Saccharomyces cerevisiae S288C: one gene and its partners. The protein of the gene in region 3 interacts with the protein of the main gene of each other region in a biochemical or structural test. Each region holds a gene or a part of one and is shown on either strand. Other genes may lie near its edges.

Region 1 (4,483 bases), on a different chromosome or scaffold from region 3:
GCCTCAAATAATAGATCTAATTCGACTTCGAAGCAGCGTCTGAGTGGTGGAGCCATTGCCGGTATTGTTATTGGTGTTGTGTTTGGCGTAATTTTTATTATTTTGATTCTATTGTTCCTGATATGGAGGAGACGGAAATCGCACGACCAATTAGACTTGGAGGAAACGAAACATTATCAGCCCTATTCGTTCGGTGATGAGGATGCAAATCCAATAGGACCGCCTCCCTCCTCTGGTACGACAAATTGGATGAGACATTCAAGGGGTAATACAGCGGGTTCTATCGGTACAAGTAATATGTATGGTTTTTCTATGAGTAATGGTGCAAATTATAGTAGTCCTAGTTCAAACACCAGTGGAAGCATCATAAACAACTTGGCTGGCTTACAAGATGCTACGGTTCAGAAACAGAACCTTCCATCGACAGTTTTTGAAGAGGCAAATACTTTGAATAGTGCAAATGAAAGGTTCAGTGCCAATTCTTTACCCGACATGATGATGAGCGGACCATTGCAAGTGGTAAACCCTGATAATCCTGATAATCCTGAATTATCTAGTACCGTATCTCATAATCGAGCCTGAAAAACTCGCATAAACTCTCAACATTAATGGTAATCAACTGGTTCTGCTGGACGGAGCCATTCTAAATCATTAACTTTATAATATCATGTTTTATACCCTAATATTTAAACAATTTACTGCTTTTGGCACTTCAACTGTTAGAAAAAGAACAATAATATTTAGTATTTAGTTTCATTTTTAAATTTTCTGATTCACTTCATTTGCAGCTTCTAATGATGTTTGTGGTACAAAAATATAAACAATTTTAAAATATTAAAAAAAAATGCTTCCAATCGGATTTGAACCGATGATCTCCACATTACTAGTGTGGCGCCTTACCAACTTGGCCATAGAAGCTAAATCTCTGAAAGCTGCGCTCTTCAAAGGCGAACCAAGCAAGATAAATTAATATTATTATGTAAAACTATCGTTTTCCTTTTGTTGATTCCTATATCCCGGAGAAGAACTACTAATTATCAAATTATTCACCAAATGATCAAATTTAGCAGCGTAGTGAGTGCCACTATGTAGATGTTGGAATAAAAACCAACTATCGTCTATCAACTAGTAGTCATACTATCAATATATTATCATATACGGTGTTAGATAGTGACATAAGTTATTATAGAAGCTGTCACCGAAGTTAGAGGAAGCTGAAATGCAAGGATCGATAATGTAATAGGATAATGAAACATATGAAATGGAATGAGGAATAATCGTAATATTGGTACATAGAAATATAGATTCCATTATGGGGATTCCTATATCATCGAGGAGAACTTCTAGTACATTCTGTATACCTAATATTATAGCCTTTATCAACGATGGAATCCCAACAATTATTTCAAAATTCACCCATTTCTCAGTAGAATTATTAATATTGGGGAATATATGGGTTTCTATGGTTCGATAGTACTGGCGCACATTCAGCATACAAATCCTACTACCTTGGTAAAGACCGAAATGCCAACAGCCGTCATTAAATCACGATATAATAGAGCATATTTCAAGTTATATAGATCCATATATCAAGGGTTTACCATACGCTCTTCCAAAACTTGTAAAGCTAACTGTCTTCGTCTTTCTTCTACAGTCATAATTTTTTTGGCGCCTCTACTTTCTGCGATGGTGTTCCCAATATCTATATCAATATCATGAAAAGGTTTAATGACTTTAAATTTTACAACAACTACATTATAAATGAAATTGAAAATCGGCCTCAAAATCGGCTTAATTAGATCAGGAAAGAAGTAAATCAATTGAAAAGTATCAGATGCATCGCCGACCAATATTTCCTGACCACCTTGAGAATTAGTTGTTGGCAAAGAGGGACAATTCAAGGGTGCAAGTTTCTGGAAAAACCTCAAGTACGACCAACTGGCAAAAAAGGTAACCCAAATGGAGAACAATTGAGCAAAATGATGAAACCATATTATTTGGGTTACCGTCATTGTAAACATTACAAAAATGGGTAGTAATTTGAACCTAAAGTTTTTGGCCAAAAATTGAGGTGTCTTCAGATGGATTATAGTTGTTTCAGGCAATAACTGTCTATAAATGATAGGGAAACCGATTAAAATTGTGTAGTTCCCGTCTAAGGGAATATCCAGCCTTACCTTATTAGAGAAAAAAGATACTAACAAAGTCAGCATGATGATCAGAACGTTTGTAAGAGAACCTAAAACTATGATAAATTTGAACATTTCTTTGGAAGAGTTCCAATTGCGTTCAATGAAGGATCCACCAATGATCAAATTCAATAAGTTCACTACCACCTTCCAAGCTTTAGTGTCGATGAAGTTGGATAGAACTAATGAGGTGGGGTACCTCCAAATCTGCGAAGGTACCATTTGCAAAAGCGGCGAAGTAATCAAGTTGTAGTCCAAGTTAGGGTCTTCAAGAACTAGCTTGTTGTACAAGGATCTCCTTATACAGAAAAGGGTTGCAGTTAAGCATATATAAGTGACTGTAATAAATTTAGTAGCATCAGGAATCTTATTGATATTTAAAAATGAATCCGGGATATTCAATTCTAGGAACCTCGAACTATATTGCATTATAGTGAACAAATATCTTTGTTATAAATAGATTAGTCGTCTTCTTTTTCTTGGCTTGGTTTGTATGAGCTTGTTACGTATCAAACAAAATATTCACATGTTTTTCTCACCTTAAAGACAGAGGCGCGATTGCGTTTGCGAAATTCCAATGCCAACAAGATAAGCTTGACGAAGGAGTTAAGAGGGCGGCTTGAACTAAAAAGAGAAAAGCAATAATGACGAACGATATTAAGGAGATACAAACAATACAGCCGGGATTGTCCGAGATTAAGGAGATAAAGGGTGAACTGGCTAATGTGAAGAAAAGGAAACGCAGGTCTAAGAAGATTAATAAATTGACTGATGGTCAAATACGTATAAATCATGTTTCGTCTGAAAAAAAAAGGAGAGAATTGGAAAGAGCTATATTTGACGAACTGGTAGCAGTAGTACCTGACCTGCAACCCCAGGAAAGTCGGTCAGAACTAATCATATACCTGAAAAGCTTGAGTTACTTAAGTTGGTTGTATGAAAGGAATGAAAAGCTGAGAAAACAAATCATAGCTAAGCATGAGGCAAAAACCGGCAGCAGCAGCAGCAGCGATCCCGTACAAGAACAAAATGGAAACATTCGGGATTTAGTACCGAAGGAGTTAATTTGGGAGCTGGGTGATGGACAGAGTGGTCAGTGATTCAAGGAGTAGGGTAAAGTAAGTAATATAAGCGAAGAAATTCTTCCCATACCTTTTCTTCACTTTGCAGAGGGGAGTGGTGCATATCCCACAAAGAAAAGTAGCAACAACAATGATATATATACGTTACTACTAATGCTTTCCTTCATCGAAAGTGTGCCGAAGTATTTATTTAATCTTTTAGTGTTCAACTTACTATAATGTGATACTTTTTCAATATTGTTTGCCGTTGAAGCGATAGTGCTTTATGTCATTTTATCTTTCTTTTACATTGTTTTATTTTAGAGCTAAAATTGAACATCAGTTTGCAAGAAGTCAGTTGGTTGGCCTTTGCTATTAAGAGACCATAATGTTATAGTGATTGAGATCAGTTTCACCAACTAATAACAATTAACCCGGGCGGTTAGTGTAGTGGTTATCATCCCACCCTTCCAAGGTGGGGACACGGGTTCGATTCTCGTACCGCTCATATTTTTACTTTCTTATCAAACTTTTTTTCCTCCGGGACGTGAAATAACCGCCGAGGTTATTCTCGGAGCATTCTTTTTTGTGGCTTTTGATCATCCATCATCATCATCATCATCATTATTACTACTACTACTACTACTACTATTATTATTATTATTATTATTATTATTAGTATTATTATTATTATATTGATTAGTTATTAGATAGATACAATTAAGAAAAATTTATGTAAAAGGTCAGAATAAACAGCATTTTTCTCCTCTTTTTTTATTTTTAAAAAAAGAAAAAGAAACTTCTAGTAAAGTGCAGCACATTCAAGTGTGATTAGTTGAAAATGGAAGCAATTTTACGGTTCAATTTCTTCAAGAAACCGCCTTCCTTCTTGGTTTCCTTCTTCTCACTGACGGCGGCGGAAGCTTGCTTCTTAGTTTCTTCAACTTTGTTGGCAGCTTCGGTCTTCTTTTGTTCGACACCATCAGCAATGTTTTGTTCTTCCTTCTTCACCTGTTCAGCTTCTGGAGTAGCTTCATTTTTTAGGTTGTCGATAGAAGCTTCAGCTTGTTCCTTTACTTCTTGGCCCTTGTTTTGCAAAGATTCTTTGGTTTCTTCCAACTTTTGTTGGACATCTTGGGCGGCAGTTTCAGCTTTGTTTTGAATTTCAGACATTATTAATTGATATAAACGTAGTTTTGTATGTTTCTTTGATTTGAACTTTTAAGTATACAG
Region 2 (8,299 bases), on a different chromosome or scaffold from region 3:
GAATAATAGTGACTCATTAATTGTGGAAAGAGTTATTAGAGAAGGAAGACTCACGACGATAAAATTGCAGATAAATTTCATCATTACAATGCCCGGTGAGAGAGGCAAACCTCGTAACTGTTTTCTGCCCATGAGTAAAATTTCAATAGCGCTATGGAAGGGGGGAGAAAGATTTAACCAGATAGATTTGGACGAGATATGCTACGGACTTATCAAGGAATATGGTGTGAAAACCGGGTTAAAGGAGATCTGCAACGTTTGCCTATTCCCGGACATGTACGCCAGGTGATGTTCCATTTGCCATTGCCAACTGGACGGCTTGCTTAAACGATTCCGATAAGCTCGGATGAGGGAACGGTACTTTACAGACATCATGGGCGGTAAGGCCAAGCGACACCGCCATCGATGCTTGCGACAGCAATTCATTTGCATCGTCGTTTATCATATGAACGCCTAGTATTTTCATGTCACGAGAATCTATCAGAACTTTAATGAAAGGAGAAACTGTAGTATTCTCTTCCCGTGGTAATAACGTGTTATATCTAACGTTCTGTGAGAACAAAACCCTGCCTTTTTGATATGGGATGCGAGCCTTTGCCAACCCCTCCTCAGTGTATCCGACCCAGCCAATCTGAGGCTGACAGTACAGCACATTTGGTGGGAAGCCACAATTCGAGGTTCCGTCGGAGCCTGTACAGCCTATTGATTGAATGGCCCTTATAGCTTGTTCTTCCGCTTTCAGCGCCAGCATGGGGCCCAATGTAACGTCTCCTATGGGTTTAATATGAGGGTACTTTAGCAGACTTTGGGTTTGTACGTCAACATTTTCTACAAAATCCCGTTCGTCTAGACCAATGCTGGAAATATCTAAACCTTTTAGCAGGGGACGTCTACCAATAGAAACCATCAAGACGTCGCAATGATGTACATATGTTTTCTTTGACACCTTGTTAAGCAAGGTGATGTTCAGCTGACCGGCAGCATCGGCTTCCGCGAGCTGCACTCTAGTGTCTAAAAGAAAAGCTATACCCTGACACTGCAAGAGGGTCTTCGTGGCAGAAGCCAACTCATTGTCCATATTTTGACAGATCTCGCTTTGAGATTCAACGATAGTAACCCGAGAGCCCAAATTATTGAATATGCATGCGATTTCTAGTCCAATTGTACCTCCTCCCATGATAGTAAAACGTGAAGGTATATAATCCAGTGACAATGCCTTATCAGATGAAATTATCTTGTCATTATCTATTGCAACACCAGGACACTGAATAACCGCAGATCCGGTCGCCACAACAATATATTTCGCCTCTACGATGAACGGTTTCATGCCGCGCTGCGCAATCTCAACGTGGTGAGGATCTTTGAAAGCAGCCGTGCCTTTATACACAGTAACATTATTTTTAGATAGCTCACGTTTATACACATTGCCCAACTCTTCTATATTATGTTTGAGTGCACTCTGGGCCGCCTGCATATCGAATTTTGCAGGAAACAGCCGCGTGCCACGTTGCTCGATAAGTTCTTGCTGTTGTAGCAGCCGATAAAGATAAGACTCATATAACAAGGTCTTGGACGGGACTGCCCCGTCTACAAGGTAGGCGCCCCCCAGCGAGGCACGCTGGTCAACACATGCTGTGAGCAGGCCTGCTTGCGAAGCCTGCATCGCTGCAGTAAAGCCACCAGGCCCGCAACCAATTACCAGGACATCGTAAACTGCCGCAAAATCCTCCATCGTGCTTAATATTTCGTCTTCACCTCCCATTACCAAAAATGCTCACCGTTAATTATATCATACTTCTCTTCTCCTCTCGTAAAATCGTGCGCATGTTAAATAGCCGCCGAAACAGCAGATGCATGCCTGCAGGTCTGGGTGTACCCCCTGCCTGAGTGTTCCACCCAGGCCTCGCCGGAGGAAAATGCCACCGCACTCAAGTTCGCACAGAAACTACCGCATAAATTTATTCTAACCCGGAACTGACGTTTATCGTGATATGAACTTTGGGTATCTCCGATTACGAAACGACGCCACCCCTCCTTCCCCAAAGCACCGAGAAAAGATTTTTTTTAAAACTGAACGCTGATTGACTTTACGTATTATTACCACTATGCATTATTGTTGTTTCTGTTGTGGTTGTTGCCAGTTGTAATCATATTCACATTGCGTTTTAGTCATAACCACCTTCCGGTATTCATCATTCGTATTGAATAACAATATTTATACCGCAAAACACTATACGGCAAGGCAACTGATTACACTTTGTTTACCTTATTTTTTTATTATTTATTTTTCTAGAAAGTATTGTTGTGTGGCTCTATCCTTATTACACCATCTCTGCTTTGGCATTTCGCGTTGTTTCCTCTCACGGATTGCAGATTATTGTTCACCAGGTAATAATCACTGACTGGCGGCTATTTTCCTATTACACTCATTATTCTTAAAATTTTCTTTTTCTATCTCTATTTTCTTTCTTTTCGTGTCTTATAATAATAATAATAATAATAATAATAAAAATAGTAATAATAAAAATAGTAATAAATAAAGATGGATTTCTTTAATTTGAATAATAATAATAATAATAATAATACTACTACTACTACTACTACTACCAATAACAATAATACTAATAATAATAATACTAATAATAATAATAATCCTGCTAATAATACCAATAACAACAATAGCACAGGCCATAGTAGTAATACTAATAACAATACTAATAACAACAATACGAATACCGGAGCCAGTGGTGTAGACGATTTTCAGAATTTTTTCGACCCAAAACCTTTTGACCAGAATTTGGATTCCAACAATAACAACAGTAATAGTAATAACAATGATAACAATAACAGTAACACGGTAGCCTCCAGCACGAACTTTACTTCTCCAACAGCAGTCGTTAATAATGCCGCTCCTGCTAATGTTACCGGTGGAAAAGCTGCTAATTTCATTCAGAACCAGTCTCCCCAATTCAATTCTCCATATGACTCAAACAATTCCAACACAAATTTAAACAGCCTGTCTCCTCAGGCTATTTTAGCCAAGAATTCAATCATTGATTCTTCCAATTTACCTCTTCAAGCTCAACAACAGCTATATGGCGGTAACAATAATAATAATAGCACCGGAATTGCGAACGATAATGTAATAACACCCCATTTTATCACCAATGTTCAATCCATCAGTCAAAATTCCTCATCTTCTACTCCGAACACAAACTCTAACTCTACTCCGAATGCAAATCAACAATTTTTGCCATTCAATAACAGTGCTTCCAATAATGGTAATTTGACGTCTAACCAGCTTATTTCTAATTACGCTGCTTCAAATTCAATGGACAGATCATCCTCTGCAAGCAATGAATTTGTTCCGAACACAAGTGACAACAACAACAACAGTAATAACCATAATATGCGTAATAACAGCAATAATAAAACGAGCAATAACAATAATGTCACTGCCGTGCCTGCTGCAACTCCCGCTAATACCAATAATTCAACTTCAAACGCAAATACAGTGTTCTCTGAAAGAGCTGCAATGTTTGCCGCTTTGCAGCAAAAGCAGCAGCAACGTTTTCAGGCTCTACAGCAGCAGCAGCAGCAGCAACAAAATCAACAACAGCAAAATCAACAACCACAACAGCAACAACAGCAACAACAGAATCCCAAATTTTTGCAGAGTCAACGGCAGCAACAACAAAGATCTATTTTACAAAGTCTGAACCCGGCATTACAAGAGAAAATATCTACTGAATTGAATAACAAACAATATGAACTTTTTATGAAATCTTTGATTGAAAACTGTAAAAAAAGAAATATGCCGTTACAATCAATACCAGAAATCGGCAACAGAAAAATAAATCTTTTTTATCTTTATATGTTGGTTCAAAAATTCGGTGGTGCAGATCAAGTAACAAGGACCCAACAGTGGTCTATGGTGGCCCAAAGGCTGCAAATTTCCGATTACCAACAATTAGAATCAATCTATTTTAGAATTTTATTACCTTACGAAAGACACATGATTTCCCAAGAAGGTATAAAGGAAACTCAAGCGAAAAGAATATTCTTGCAACAGTTCTTACAAGAACTATTGAAGAAAGTTCAACAACAGCAGCAGGCCGCTGCATTGGCCAATGCCAACAATAACATTAATAGTGCATCGTCAGCACCAACCCCCGCGGCTCCTGGCGCGTCCGTTCCTGCTACAGCAGCACCAGGAACAGAAGCAGGGATCGTTCCGGTTTCAGCAAACACTCCAAAAAGCTTGAATAGCAATATTAATATCAACGTAAATAATAACAATATTGGCCAACAGCAAGTTAAGAAGCCAAGAAAGCAAAGAGTGAAAAAAAAGACCAAAAAGGAATTGGAACTAGAACGTAAAGAAAGGGAGGATTTTCAGAAACGACAACAAAAACTTTTAGAGGATCAACAAAGGCAACAGAAATTGCTATTAGAGACAAAATTACGTCAACAATATGAAATCGAACTAAAAAAATTGCCTAAAGTCTACAAGAGATCAATTGTTAGGAACTACAAACCCCTAATCAACCGCCTCAAGCATTACAATGGTTACGATATCAATTACATCTCTAAAATAGGAGAGAAAATAGATTCCAACAAGCCAATTTTTCTCTTCGCGCCAGAGTTAGGTGCAATTAATTTACATGCTTTATCAATGTCCCTCCAATCGAAGAATCTTGGAGAAATAAACACCGCCTTGAACACCTTGTTGGTCACAAGCGCTGACTCGAACTTAAAAATATCTCTGGTCAAATACCCTGAATTATTAGACTCCTTGGCAATACTCGGCATGAATTTACTGTCAAATTTGTCACAAAATGTTGTTCCATACCATCGAAACACTTCTGACTATTATTATGAGGATGCTGGATCAAATCAATACTATGTTACCCAACACGATAAAATGGTTGATAAAATTTTTGAAAAGGTAAACAACAACGCTACACTTACACCGAATGATTCTAACGATGAAAAAGTCACTATCCTGGTAGATTCTTTAACAGGTAATCAATTGCCCACCCCTACTCCTACTGAAATGGAGCCTGATCTCGACACTGAATGTTTTATAAGTATGCAGTCGACATCTCCCGCAGTTAAACAGTGGGACTTATTGCCTGAACCAATAAGATTCCTCCCTAACCAATTTCCTTTGAAAATTCACAGAACTCCTTATTTGACTTCTTTGAAAAAAATCAAGGATGAAATTGATGATCCATTTACAAAAATAAATACCAGAGGGGCAGAGGATCCCAAAGTTCTGATTAACGATCAACTGTCTACCATCTCGATGATTTTGAGGAATATTTCATTCTCCGATAACAACTCCAGAATCATGTCGAGAAATTTTTACCTAAAGAGATTTATATCTGATCTACTTTGGTTAGTCTTAATCCATCCAGAAAACTTTACATGCAATAGGAAAATACTAAATTTCAAGAAGGATTTGGTTATTGTTTTATCAAATATTTCTCATTTATTAGAGATCGCTTCGTCCATTGATTGCTTGTTAATTCTTATTCTAGTCATAAGTTTTGGTCAACCAAAACTCAATCCAATGGCGTCTTCGTCATCATTTGGCTCTGAATCTTTGACCTTCAACGAATTCCAGTTGCAATGGGGAAAATATCAAACTTTCGGTGTAGATATTTTGGCCAAATTATTTTCATTGGAAAAACCGAACCTAAATTATTTCAAATCAATCCTTCTGAACAAAAACACAGGTAACAACCTCTATGATCGCAACAGTAACAACAACCACAAGGACAAAAAGTTGTTACGAAGACTTTTGAATTTATACAATGATAACAATAAAAATAATAACAATAGGCACAACTTGCTAAATGATGTGGTTTCGTTTTTATTTTCTGCCATACCGCTGCAGCAAGTGTTATCGCAATCAGCTGATCCAAGTTTGCTGATCGACCAATTTTCTCCGGTAATTTCTCAGAGTCTAACTAGCATCTTAGTCATTGTACAAAAAATATTGCCGTTATCCAATGAAGTATTTGAAATCAGTGAGAATAATTCAGACAGTAACAGTAACAATAACGGCAACAAAGATTCTAGCTTCAATTTCAACAAGAATTTACCATTTGTGTGGTTGAGCTCTGAAGAAAATATTGGATCTGGACTATTGAAGTTAAGTGAGATAATATTGAATATTAACAATTCCACAAGTAAGAATACTTTGTTACAGCAACAAAATTATTCAAAGGTGCTCCTACCGTCAATTAACATATCCTGTGTTCAGTTAATCAAATGTTTGGTTGAAAAAAGTATTTGTTTTGAAAACTGCCTAAACAACGACCCGGAAATATTAAAAAAAATAGCATCGATTCCAAATTTGTTCCCCACGGATTTAGAAATTTTCCAGTTATTCACTAATCCATCAGTTGATATTCAAATAATAAACCAGTATCAATTACTTTACAATTTAAAAAATGATATCCTAACCAATTTGGAATGATGCGATTTTTTTAAACAATATTCTTTTACTGCTTATTTCTTCCTTGCGCACTATTTTCTTTTTATAAACCTATATAAAATGTTGTAACTAATATAATAGACCTTATGGAAACAATACAGTCGGAAGAGCGCCTTTAGTGCCAAAAGCCCAAATGAACGTATAGCTGCCATGAAGTCACATCTTGGGCGGCTCAACTAAACAATGGTTTTAGTAACTTCCCACTGGTCCCGTCGCGGCTACAAAAATTCCTTGAAATTGTATAAAGGAGTTTATGACTCCATTTCAGGCAGTAAATACAATTCATACACACCACACATACATTCAGAGTTAACGTTCGCTATAATAAAACGGTAGAGAGTCAGATGTGGAGTCAGCGTGGGGGGTGGGGTAACACTCCACCTTTGAAAACGGTGTGACTTCGCCCTTTCGATGGGAGGAGGTAAAGCTCAAATAGGACAGAATCATCCAAGAAAATTTCAAGCTGCCCACAAAGTCAAGATCGCTTCAGAAGCTGTTCGGCGCAGTATTGAGATGAATTGGCTGCATTGACGGTTCGGGAACCCATTCTACTTATCTATATATTCTGAGTACTTATCCAGAAAGAGAAAAAAGTCAGCTGGCGCCGTATTTTTTATCAAACCTAATTGGCTAAAGTAGAATTGCACGTCAGAGCTTACAAATTTTTCGATATCTATAAGGGGGTGGGGGGAAAGAATATGTATGCAATGTCAAACGCGTAGGAAAGCCAAGCTCAATTACGCGTCTCTTTTATTTTTAAACTATCAAATTGCCGCGCATGCTAGATGAATAAGGAAAAAAAAAGGGGGACGGAAAACATTGCAACCAACACATTATTCTTTAGCGGCTTTTTGTGAAGAAGAGGAGTTGCTTGCTCCATCTTCATCGCTGTCATGGCCATTGAGACGCTGTAGCTTCTTATCCTTCTTGTCTGCACTCTCATGTTCAGATTGATCCAAACTCAAATTCTCTAAATCATGTACAATTTCAAGTAATTGCTCTTTAGAGTTATCCCCCATTCCACCTTGGGCCGTAAGTATCTTTTCGAAATCTTCTTGCCAACCTAATTCTTCAACGAGTTGCTCGGCAAACTCATCCGAGTACTGATGAACTATTAAATCTGTAGGCCTCTTGTTAGCTTTAAAATCGCCCACCGTTTCCAAATTGCACAGAACTCTTTTTACCTTTCGAGGAATTTCTTCGGGCAGAGACGCAAAGGGATAAACGGCTAGTGAGGTGCCAACGACGATGACAAGAGGCTGCTGAGGATGTTTTCCAGATGTCGTGATTTTTTCACGAAGCCACTCTGAATCGTTTAACCAAGTTTCCGAAAAGGAATCCGGTAGATCTTCGCCAAAAAAAACTATTGCCGGCTTTACCAGTTCACCGCACACATCACACTTGACAAAATCCTTTATAGGATGCTCTGCCAGCTTGGATTTGAAAACCTGTGGGGGATAAACTTTACCACATCCGATACAATGACAGTGAGCAAAACTGCCATGGGCCTCGATGATCAGATCATCCTTAACACCGGCCTGTCTTTCTAAAGTGTCTATATTCTGGGTATATACTCTCTTCAAAACGTCTTTGTCTTGAAACAATTTCAAAAGATAGTGAAACTTAGAAGGTCTGAAATTTCCGGGATACAACTCTTTAGCCAAAGTGTAAAATGGCAAAGGATCCGATTGGAAAAAATCGACATCGAACACTGCTTCAGGGTACGGCAACTTCAACCTGGCCAAGTTATGGTACAGGCCAGTTCCCGGAGATCGGAAGTCTGGTATCCCACAA
Region 3 (5,102 bases):
GAGAATGATGGGACCATTAGGAGCTAAGTTATGTTGGAATTACATAATGGCGGCATATAGCCGAGTCCCATCGTTGGCATACAAAGAGTACATATTTGAACTGTTTTACGGTAAGGGAGGTATACCGGAGGTTACGACAGATATTTTCAAAGCGTTATTTTCAAGATGTATCCTAGCAAAGGACCCCTTGATGGATTCTCTGCAATATTTAAATGTTAAGAAATTATTGATAGTATATGGGCAATATGATTGGATGAATAAAAAAGCCGGTATGTTCATGGTCAAAGAGTTGAACAATTTAAAGAACTGTCTAGAAGGAGCAAGTTATTTAGAAATACCTTCTTCCGGTCACAATCTTTTTTTAGATAACCCAGAATCATTCAACCAATCTATAGTGTCCTTCTTATCAGACGAAACTAAATCGCCTTGATAGCAACCAAATCAAGTAGCAAAGAGCCAAAAAATGTGTTAATGTATGCTATCCCCCTTTTTGCTTTTGCGCTCCTCACACCTCTTTTCTTTGCTTTGAAATTTTTCTCAAATAAAATCTTTACAATCATCGCTACTAGTTAATTCATCCAATTTAGTGAGGAATAACGGATCAAATTCCACTAAATTTTCTAATCGAGATATGCTATTCGAATAATCCTCCGATACAGGGTCTTTCGGATATTCCCTGGGGAAATACTCTGTGTCACTTTCTTTTGAAGGAAGGATCATCGAGGGTGAAGAATCGCTTCCACTTGACTGTTGTAACAAATCTTTTTCTACCTTAACCATTTTATTTACATCAAATCGACGACTATGGTATGATTTTTTCTGTTTTTGGGCTAGGTCATTTAAATCATCAAGTGATATGGTCTTCTGCTTGAAATCTTTGTTGCACAAGCATTTCGCAATTTCGAAAACATTTTTCATGATTACTTTCTTCACAGTTTCTTTCTTAAAAATGGTCATTGCGGCGGTCACTCCTGTAAGCTCGTCCAAAATCTCAAGGCTGAAGGGAGATTGCGGTAGAACATTCATAATTATCGTGCACATCAATTTCAGTCGATCCGCTTTCTGGAGGTGGTCCGGCTCTTTATGTTCTACATCTTTTGGCCACCATTCCGGCCTTCCAGCATTGCCTTTAATGTATGGAAACCTGGTTTTCTTCCTTGGCTCAATAATTTTTATCCACAACTTAGCAATCGCCTTGCATGGGACCTGTCTTAATAATTTAAAAGCCGTATACAGATAATTCTGTATTAGTAGGGGTTGATCTAAGGGTAGCATGATCGCTGGTTGGATATTTTCTTCATAAACAGTTATTCTTTTCCTATTTACCAATGGATCGAACGTGAGTGGAGGGTTTTTTTCAATTGAAGATGATATAAAACTCTCTGAGAACAAGTTTTTTGGAATTGACTCACTTATTAAATGGTCTTTTTCCTTTATGAACACCATAAACTCATATCCTTGACCATTTAGCAGCGCCAGCGCCCTTCTAAGCTCTTCCATACCTATACGCATGTACTTAAGCTGACTCTATCGAAAAATGACGTACGCACAAATGCACATGTATACATACGCAATCCATCCTTTATATAAGCTGAGAAACAAGCAGAGGAACCTGCTTCAGTTGGGCCATCCCTTCGATGCTATATACTTCTAATCTTAAACTCTTCACTAAGACTTCGCAGGCACCGCTTCAAGGATGTCTCAGGTCGCGAGATTACTACAACAACTTAAAACAACCCTGATGCAACTGCAGCGTGCTGTTTTTCAACAGTACAAGAAAAAGTTCCATATTGTGCCATTGCCGATGCCATTGCAAAGGAATTTGTTCTCAGTCGCATCTCTCCTTTACTGCAGATCTGAGTTACTTTGAATCCTTGATAATATGGATCGAGTGCCTCTTCCATTATTTCTATTATTATAATCTCAACGCTTAATATGAATTAACCAACCACACTCAAACCAAATCTACGCCAGCTACAAATGGTAGGAGAATGAAGACACACCAGGACTCAAACAGGATTTCCCAACAATGTCTTTCAACATGCTGCTTGCCGGTCACTACTGCACTTCCTGCGCCTTTTCCGTTGAATCACCCTCCATAGTGCGGCAGATGGAACCAACCTAACCTTTTTTCAGCAGGAGGTAAAAAATTCGCCGGTTTTCTATCTCCCTCCGTCATCGGCAGGGCGTTGACACCTGTCCAAGTACAACACACATGTGAATTTTTTTCAGTGATTAAAGGCTCATCTCATCATATCTTATTGTAATCAGTATTTGGCGTCATAAGCAATTCGAAATTGGTTCGGTTCCATCTCGTTGACGTGCAATAAATAAATACATGGAACAGCAAAGGAGAAAATGCAACAAGCAACTGGGAACGAATTACTGGGTATCCTAGATCTGGATAACGATATAGACTTTGAAACTGCTTACCAAATGCTCAGCAGTAACTTCGACGACCAAATGTCTGCGCACATACATGAAAACACGTTTAGTGCAACTTCCCCTCCTCTGTTAACACACGAGCTCGGCATAATTCCTAACGTAGCAACCGTGCAACCCTCTCACGTAGAAACTATACCTGCCGATAACCAAACTCATCATGCTCCTTTGCATACTCATGCACACTATCTAAATCACAACCCTCATCAACCAAGCATGGGTTTTGATCAAGCGCTTGGTCTCAAGTTGTCTCCTTCCAGTTCGGGGTTGTTGAGCACGAATGAATCGAATGCCATTGAACAGTTTTTAGACAATCTAATATCACAGGATATGATGTCTTCCAACGCTTCCATGAACTCCGAATCACATCTACATATAAGATCACCAAAAAAGCAGCATAGGTATACCGAATTAAATCAAAGATATCCTGAAACACATCCACACAGTAACACAGGGGAGTTACCCACAAACACAGCAGATGTGCCAACTGAGTTCACCACGAGGGAAGGACCTCATCAGCCTATCGGCAATGACCACTACAACCCGCCACCGTTTTCAGTACCTGAGATACGAATCCCAGACTCTGATATTCCAGCCAATATCGAGGACGACCCTGTGAAGGTACGGAAATGGAAACACGTTCAAATGGAGAAGATACGAAGAATAAACACCAAAGAAGCCTTTGAAAGGCTCATTAAATCAGTAAGGACCCCACCGAAGGAAAACGGGAAAAGAATTCCCAAGCATATTCTTTTAACTTGTGTAATGAACGATATCAAGTCCATTAGAAGCGCAAATGAAGCACTACAGCACATACTGGATGATTCCTGAGCTCATACAAGCTATTAGTGATGAAAATGGCCTCCCGTTGGATGTATTTTTAGTTAATTTCGTATACATGGGCGAAAATATCATATGATTGCAAAGCTGGTCATGTAAATATATTCATTATAAACCAGACGGTAGAAAATCTCGTTTCTTTCCAGAGTGTAGCGTAGATTTTTGCGGACAAGAATTACCAGTATCTTCATTTTATTTAGAAGTTAAGAGAATCCGGAGGCAATGATGGTGAAGTAAAGAAATCTTTCAACGGCGAAGTATAATCTGTCTTCACAAACAGAATAACTGCGTACAAACTCGCAGTTATATGACCGTTACGAGTTGTATTGATTCAGTGAAGTAATAGTCCTATTACATCCATATGAATCCTGTCCTGGTAAACGGTGCAATGATCGCTCTACGTATACAAATTCTCTCCATCAATCGATGATGAACTGCTTTACACATAAAGTACGTGCCATTTATTTATAAATAATACCAATTAAGGGACGAAAATATTAACTGCTGAGTGTCTGCTTAGGTCCATTCTATTTCTTCTTTCCAAAAGAGAATAAAAAGAATCTATATATATATATAAATTTCTATCGAACGGATATTCTTGTTTTCGAATATCAAAAATGTAAGCTGTGGTTTCTCAGGGAACGTGTTACTTACAACTTTAGTTCTTTTAATATACTAGAAGCCAGCTCTTTATACAACCAAGTGTTCCCAGAAATTTTCTTAAAATGCACACCGGCTAAACCAACAATACGAACCTTGACGATATGAATTTCGAATTTGATGGGCTCTTTTTCTGTTGTAGTCATGCCTTCGCTACCGTCACCTTGTTGGTGGATGTTCTCCAAAGATGTTCCCGAATGCTTATCATCTCCATAGGTTTCGGTAATAGATGTTTTTCTCTGGTGAATGGAATTAGTTGTCAAAGGAGAAGAAGGTGAGTATTTATTAGAGCCTTGACGTCTAATGGATTCGTGGTGCGAAAGTGGCATGATCGATCTTGGAGTCCCTTCTCTCTTCGCTGCCACATTATTGGAAGAGAACCTTTGCATACAAACAAAACCACCCTTAACCTCCTTGAACTCTATATTCATTTTCCTCAGAACAAACATAATCTTGTATCTAACAATTGGCAAAGGCTTCGATGAAGTTGTCTGAACAGAAAAGAAACCCTTCAAAAATAAAGAACGGGGGAAATCGATGGATGGCATAGAACCGGCTGGAGCTCTAGAAGCTTCCTGCAATATCTCTTCATCTGTTAATTCCTTCTCCACAGATGGCGAGTTTATGTGTGCGTTCACAGAATGCACGCTGACGCTATCATTCGTCTGTGAAGTAACATTTCCCAAACTATCGGATTTGTTATCGTCACTTGATTCTAAGAACCCAGTATCTATAAGCTCTTGCTGAGGATAGGCAGATGAAGGCATTGGGGGTCTCATATATTTGAGTGATTCACGACGAGCATGACCAACTGATTTAGCTCTTGCGCTTGGATGTAGTTTTCGACCTTTTGCAACATTGAGAGGTGGTAAGGGATGATTCTCGTCGTCGTCGCTTCCTTCAAACTTCTGTGCAGCGTAAGCTTCCCGCCCGCTTCCTTTTGCAACTTCATTATTCTGTTTATTAATATCATGCAATTTCATTATATCTTCTTCAATTTGCTTCTCCCTTTGCTTCTCTACCATATTTTCTGCATCCGCAGGCAATGCTGGAAAGTCACCTTTATTGCCACCTCTGCTATCGTTTGTCTTGACAGGCTCATTCATGGTATAATTTGAATCATAACTCGGTTTAGCAAAACCAGGGACAAAGTCTGAAAC
Region 4 (5,444 bases), on a different chromosome or scaffold from region 3:
TAATCATTTAATCATCTGCACCCCCACCGCGCGGTGTGGCTGACATTTCCTATGAAGTTCTCAACAGGGGAGGGTAACGTAGTACCTTCGAAGAGTTTGTTTATTTACTATATTTTATGCTCTTCTTCAGAAGGGCCTGTGATACGCATGTTTCTCAAAAAGACACCTAGTGCAGCTGAACCGGCAAAGTAAAGCTTCTGAAAGAAGACATGTCAATTTCTCTATTAGGTAGAATTGTTTCACAACAATTCTCCGGCATACGGGCGGCTGAGCCAGGGAGATCTCTATATTTACCGTTTACCTTACTATTGAAACAGCCCGGTGCTTACAAGGTGAGCCTACACAGATATGTACATAGCACCCAAACGAAGAGCCACTTGAGCTTTTTAATGAATAATAACGATATAACACCTTTTCAAAAATTTACAGTTAAAGTTCTCAAAGAGCAGTGCAAATCAAGAGGGTTAAAATTATCAGGTCGCAAATCAGATTTGCTACAAAGACTTATCACGCACGATTCATGTTCAAATAAAAAAAGTAGTGTGAAGATAAATGAACCCAAAAAAAAGAGGATATTAATAAATGATCCAATCAAAATCACGAAGAAATTGGTTAGTGATAAAACTTTTAGAACTATTGAAAAAAATATTTCTTCACTGCAGAACACACCTGTTATCGAAACTCCCTGCGACGTTCATTCACACTTGCAACCAAGGGATAGAATATTCTTATTAGGATTTTTCATGTTATCGTGTCTTTGGTGGAACCTCGAACCTCAGGAATCTAAACCTACCATTGACCATTAGAAATATAATTCTAGCACTGTAATTAATTGAACTGTATATTCTTTCATAATTTATTAAGACACTTTTACTTTTCTCTACGCTCTCAATAAGTTATTGTTGATCCAGATCATCTCGATATTGCCGTCATTTTCGGTTAAGGTAGGCGCTTTTACGAAACACATGCCAGAAAAAAAAGTGAGGAAGGAAGGTACAATGAAAACAGGGTGAACGCCACTTCTTTTCACCCAAGTTGTAAGAGAAATAATAGTAAAAGCAATCGAATTTGGATTCTATAAAACACCACTGAGGCGAAAAAAAAAGTAATGGACAATTACGAAGGCAGTGATCCTTGGAATACCAGTTCTAATGCATGGACTAAGGATGATGATCACGTCGTTTCTACCACCAATAGTGAACCCAGCCTCAACGGAATCTCTGGTGAGTTTAACACCTTGAACTTTTCAACACCTCTGGACACAAATGAGGAGGATACTGGTTTTTTACCGACCAACGATGTGCTTGAAGAAAGTATCTGGGATGATAGTAGAAATCCTCTTGGTGCAACTGGCATGAGCCAAACTCCCAATATAGCGGCCAATGAGACAGTTATAGATAAGAATGATGCTAGAGATCAGAATATAGAAGAATCTGAAGCCGACTTACTTGATTGGACTAACAACGTTAGAAAAACATACAGACCTCTAGATGCCGACATCATCATCATTGAAGAGATACCTGAAAGAGAGGGTTTACTTTTCAAGCACGCAAACTATTTAGTGAAACATCTCATTGCTCTTCCAAGTACCTCGCCTTCTGAAGAACGTACTGTCGTAAGAAGATACTCTGATTTCTTATGGTTAAGAGAAATTCTGCTGAAAAGATACCCTTTTAGAATGATCCCTGAGCTACCTCCCAAAAGAATTGGATCCCAAAACGCAGACCAGCTTTTTTTGAAGAAAAGAAGAATAGGGTTATCTAGATTCATTAATTTGGTAATGAAACACCCTAAATTAAGTAATGATGATTTAGTGTTAACATTTTTAACCGTACGCACTGACTTAACAAGTTGGAGAAAGCAAGCAACCTATGACACTTCAAACGAATTCGCTGATAAAAAGATATCACAAGAATTTATGAAAATGTGGAAAAAAGAGTTTGCAGAACAATGGAACCAGGCTGCATCTTGTATCGATACCTCGATGGAATTATGGTATAGAATCACGCTTCTCTTGGAAAGGCATGAAAAAAGAATTATGCAAATGGTACACGAAAGAAATTTTTTTGAGACACTAGTGGATAACTTTAGCGAAGTGACTCCAAAACTATATCCGGTACAACAAAATGATACCATATTGGACATTAATAACAATTTGAGTATAATTAAAAAACACCTAGAAACTACGAGTAGTATCTGCAAACAAGAAACAGAAGAAATATCGGGAACGTTATCGCCAAAATTCAAAATTTTCACGGACATCTTACTTTCTTTGAGAAGTTTATTTGAGAGATACAAAATTATGGCTGCAAATAACGTAGTTGAATTGCAAAGACATGTCGAATTGAACAAAGAGAAATTGGAATCGATGAAAGGAAAACCAGATGTCAGTGGAGCAGAGTACGACAGGATAAAAAAAATCATACAGAAGGATAGAAGAAGCATAATAGAGCAATCAAACAGAGCTTGGTTGATAAGACAATGTATTTTGGAAGAGTTTACAATCTTTCAGGAAACCCAATTTTTAATAACACGTGCCTTCCAGGATTGGGCAAAATTGAACTCCAACCATGCCGGTCTCAAACTGAATGAGTGGGAAAAGCTCGTCACAAGCATCATGGATATGCCGATTTCTCGTGAATAAATTTTACGGAGTGAAGACTAACCACTTAGTCTGCCAAAACATTATTGAAGGATATCCAACAGATGTAATTGACGTACTAAACAGAGAAATAATTAGGTAAATAGAGTAAAGATATGTACCACTATAAATTGTTATTTATTTGTTTTTCAATTTTAAATACAGTGTATGAAGCCTAATTCGGATATTATAGGTTCCCATATTTATTAGAAGGTAACAAATCTTTCGATAATTTGGATTAGATAGCCTTATAATATGCCGGACAAACGACGCCCGCTAAAAATGTGTATTCTCCAGTATTCAATATTCGTCATAAATGATCTTAATTTGAAAAAGTGAATGAACTGAACATCGATAAGTCGAATGTGGTCCGTGTAATAGCTCAAATGGGAAAGTTTTTCTAATCAGCATTCTGTATAACCTCACCTGCACGTAATCTAAAGTGCTTTTATCGATTGGTAGTGCACATATTGTCTTTCGGCATCATATCACATAATGGCAAATTCGCCGAAAAAGCCATCTGATGGCACTGGAGTATCAGCGTCAGACACGCCTAAATATCAACATACCGTCCCAGAAACGAAACCAGCATTTAATTTGTCACCAGGTAAAGCTAGTGAGCTATCACATAGCCTTCCGTCGCCTAGCCAGATAAAATCAACCGCACATGTATCTTCAACTCACAATGATGCGGCAGGTAATACGGATGATTCTGTTCTTCCTAAAAATGTATCACCCACAACTAATTTGAGAGTTGAAAGTAATGGAGATACAAACAATATGTTCTCTAGCCCTGCTGGACTAGCTCTACCAAAAAAGGATGATAAAAAAAAAAACAAGGGTACGAGTAAAGCAGATTCTAAAGATGGCAAAGCATCCAACTCCTCAGGACAGAATGCACAACAACAATCAGACCCAAATAAAATGCAAGATGTCCTTTTTTCCGCAGGTATCGATGTTAGGGAGGAGGAGGCTCTTCTAAATTCATCTATTAATGCCTCAAAATCCCAAGTTCAAACAAATAACGTTAAGATCCCCAACCATTTACCATTCCTTCACCCGGAACAAGTTTCCAATTATATGAGGAAAGTCGGAAAAGAGCAAAACTTCAACCTGACCCCTACAAAGAATCCTGAAATTTTGGACATGATGTCAAGTGCCTGCGAAAACTATATGAGAGATATCCTAACAAATGCCATTGTCATCTCCCGACATAGAAGAAAAGCAGTCAAGATAAATTCTGGTAGAAGAAGTGAAGTTTCTGCGGCTTTAAGAGCCATTGCACTAATTCAAAAAAAAGAAGAAGAAAGGCGTGTGAAAAAAAGAATTGCGTTGGGACTCGAGAAGGAAGATTATGAAAATAAGATTGATTCCGAAGAGACGTTACACAGAGCATCGAACGTTACGGCTGGCCTTAGAGCAGGTAGTAAAAAACAGTATGGTTGGCTAACTTCATCAGTAAATAAGCCGACGTCCTTGGGAGCAAAATCTTCAGGCAAAGTCGCCTCCGACATCACGGCTAGAGGAGAAAGTGGGCTAAAGTTTAGAGAAGCTAGAGAGGAGCCTGGTATAGTAATGAGGGATTTACTCTTTGCTCTCGAAAATAGGCGCAACAGCGTTCAGACTATTATTTCAAAGGGTTATGCCAAGATCAGAGATTAATTGCTCATCTCTTATACTGTCTATAATATTTAAAGGTATAGTGTTTCAAATAAACTAGGATATAAAAAAAACAAGATTGACTAACATAAAGAAGGCCGGTTGGTGTCGCTTAGTCAAGTCATCGCCAAGCTATTGAGGACCATTCAACCTTTTTGCTTTGTTCATTTTAACTTTATAATAAGGAAGATATATCAATCCTTGAAGTTAGGCATCCTTCTACCAAAAATAGCGGAAAGAGGAGTGATAATCGGGAAAAAAATTTTCATATTAATACACATTTTTATACATTTACTTGTCATTATCCTTTTGGGTGAAAGGATGTATTATGTATTGTTTCTCAGAAGGGCTTCTAAATTAGTCCAAATAATGCTGTTATGGCACCTAACAAACTCATTAGAGTATTAGTGTTCGCATAGGAAATAGCCGCAGCATTCGCTTTGTTTGCCGTAGAGGAAGAAGAACGAGCTGTAGAGGAAGAAATTGAAGAGGATGAAGAATTTGAGTTTAAAGTTGTATTTGACGAAGAGTTTGAGTTAGAAGTGACATTTGATGAAGTCGAGGTTGTTGAGTTTGATGTAGTATTTCCGGAGGTTGATGAACCTAAGAGAGCCGTTATTGGAATACCGTCAGTAGCCTCAGAGATTGCAGAGGCAATAGCACCGCTTTGATACGTACTATTTCCCGATAGTTCAGGATTAGCTGAGGTACTTAGTGTGCCGTTCCAGCAGTAATCCGCAAAACATTTGGTACATTCAGGGGGCAAGGTGGCATTTAGGCTTTCTTGCTTACGTCTAATGATGGCACAACCTATGCAACCTAAAAAGTTAGAGTCATCCGTAAAGTTGCCCATTGTAGCAGCTTCAAAACCATTTCTGATCATTCCAAGACGTTCTGTAACATTGTAGTTCATCTTCAAAGTACTTTGGTTACCATTGAATGAATGTTTTGTGTTTGGGATATATACAACTAAAGGTGGAATATACTCCAAGTCCGTCAAATTTTTTGCATCACAACCAAAAAACGTTGGCTTATTAGTTAAGCCCAAGTTAAGGAAGGTGTTAACGTCTGGAACATATGGGAAAGCCATTCCTTTACCTTGCTTAGAATACTGGCGCTCATAAGTGTTCGTCATGCACACACC

What was found.
Region 1: the proteins of INO2 (region 3) and INO4 form a complex in vitro, tested with the Saccharomyces cerevisiae proteins (4 studies listed by BioGRID, with this or other methods).
Region 2: the proteins of INO2 (region 3) and SWI1 form a complex in vitro, tested with the Saccharomyces cerevisiae proteins (2 studies listed by BioGRID).
Region 4: the proteins of INO2 (region 3) and TAF4 form a complex in vitro, tested with the Saccharomyces cerevisiae proteins (2 studies listed by BioGRID).

The regions. Positions count from the first base shown.
Region 1 is NC_001147.6:110,237-114,719, reverse strand, and holds INO4 (Ino4p), read left to right. Parts: upstream 1-2,833; coding exon 2,834-3,289; downstream 3,290-4,483. Other genes in the region: WSC3 (Wsc3p), read left to right, coding at 1-582; YOL107W (uncharacterized protein), read right to left, coding at 1,590-2,618; ZEO1 (Zeo1p), read right to left, coding at 4,082-4,423. UniProt on the Saccharomyces cerevisiae protein: Transcriptional activator of phospholipid synthetic genes (such as INO1, CHO1/PSS, CHO2/PEM1, OPI3/PEM2, etc.).
Region 2 is NC_001148.4:518,472-526,770, forward strand, and holds SWI1 (Swi1p), read left to right. Parts: upstream 1-2,542; coding exon 2,543-6,487; downstream 6,488-8,299. Other genes in the region: CTF19 (Ctf19p), read left to right, coding at 1-289; IRC15 (Irc15p), read right to left, coding at 263-1,762; histone deacetylase HST2, read right to left, coding at 7,339-8,299. UniProt on the Saccharomyces cerevisiae protein: Involved in transcriptional activation. Component of the SWI/SNF complex, an ATP-dependent chromatin remodeling complex, which is required for the positive and negative regulation of gene expression of a large number of genes.
Region 3 is NC_001136.10:696,725-701,826, reverse strand, and holds INO2 (Ino2p), read left to right. Parts: upstream 1-2,358; coding exon 2,359-3,273; downstream 3,274-5,102. Other genes in the region: ECM18 (alpha/beta hydrolase family protein), read left to right, coding at 1-430; YDR124W (uncharacterized protein), read right to left, coding at 538-1,512; serine/threonine protein kinase KIN1, read right to left, coding at 3,933-5,102. UniProt on the Saccharomyces cerevisiae protein: Positive regulatory factor required for depression of the coregulated phospholipid biosynthetic enzymes. Also involved in the expression of ITR1.
Region 4 is NC_001145.3:272,909-278,352, forward strand, and holds TAF4 (Taf4p), read left to right. Parts: upstream 1-3,136; coding exon 3,137-4,303; downstream 4,304-5,444. Other genes in the region: AIM34 (Aim34p), read left to right, coding at 210-806; MVP1 (Mvp1p), read left to right, coding at 1,109-2,644; PLB2 (lysophospholipase), read right to left, coding at 4,653-5,444. UniProt on the Saccharomyces cerevisiae protein: Functions as a component of the DNA-binding general transcription factor complex TFIID. Binding of TFIID to a promoter (with or without TATA element) is the initial step in pre-initiation complex (PIC) formation.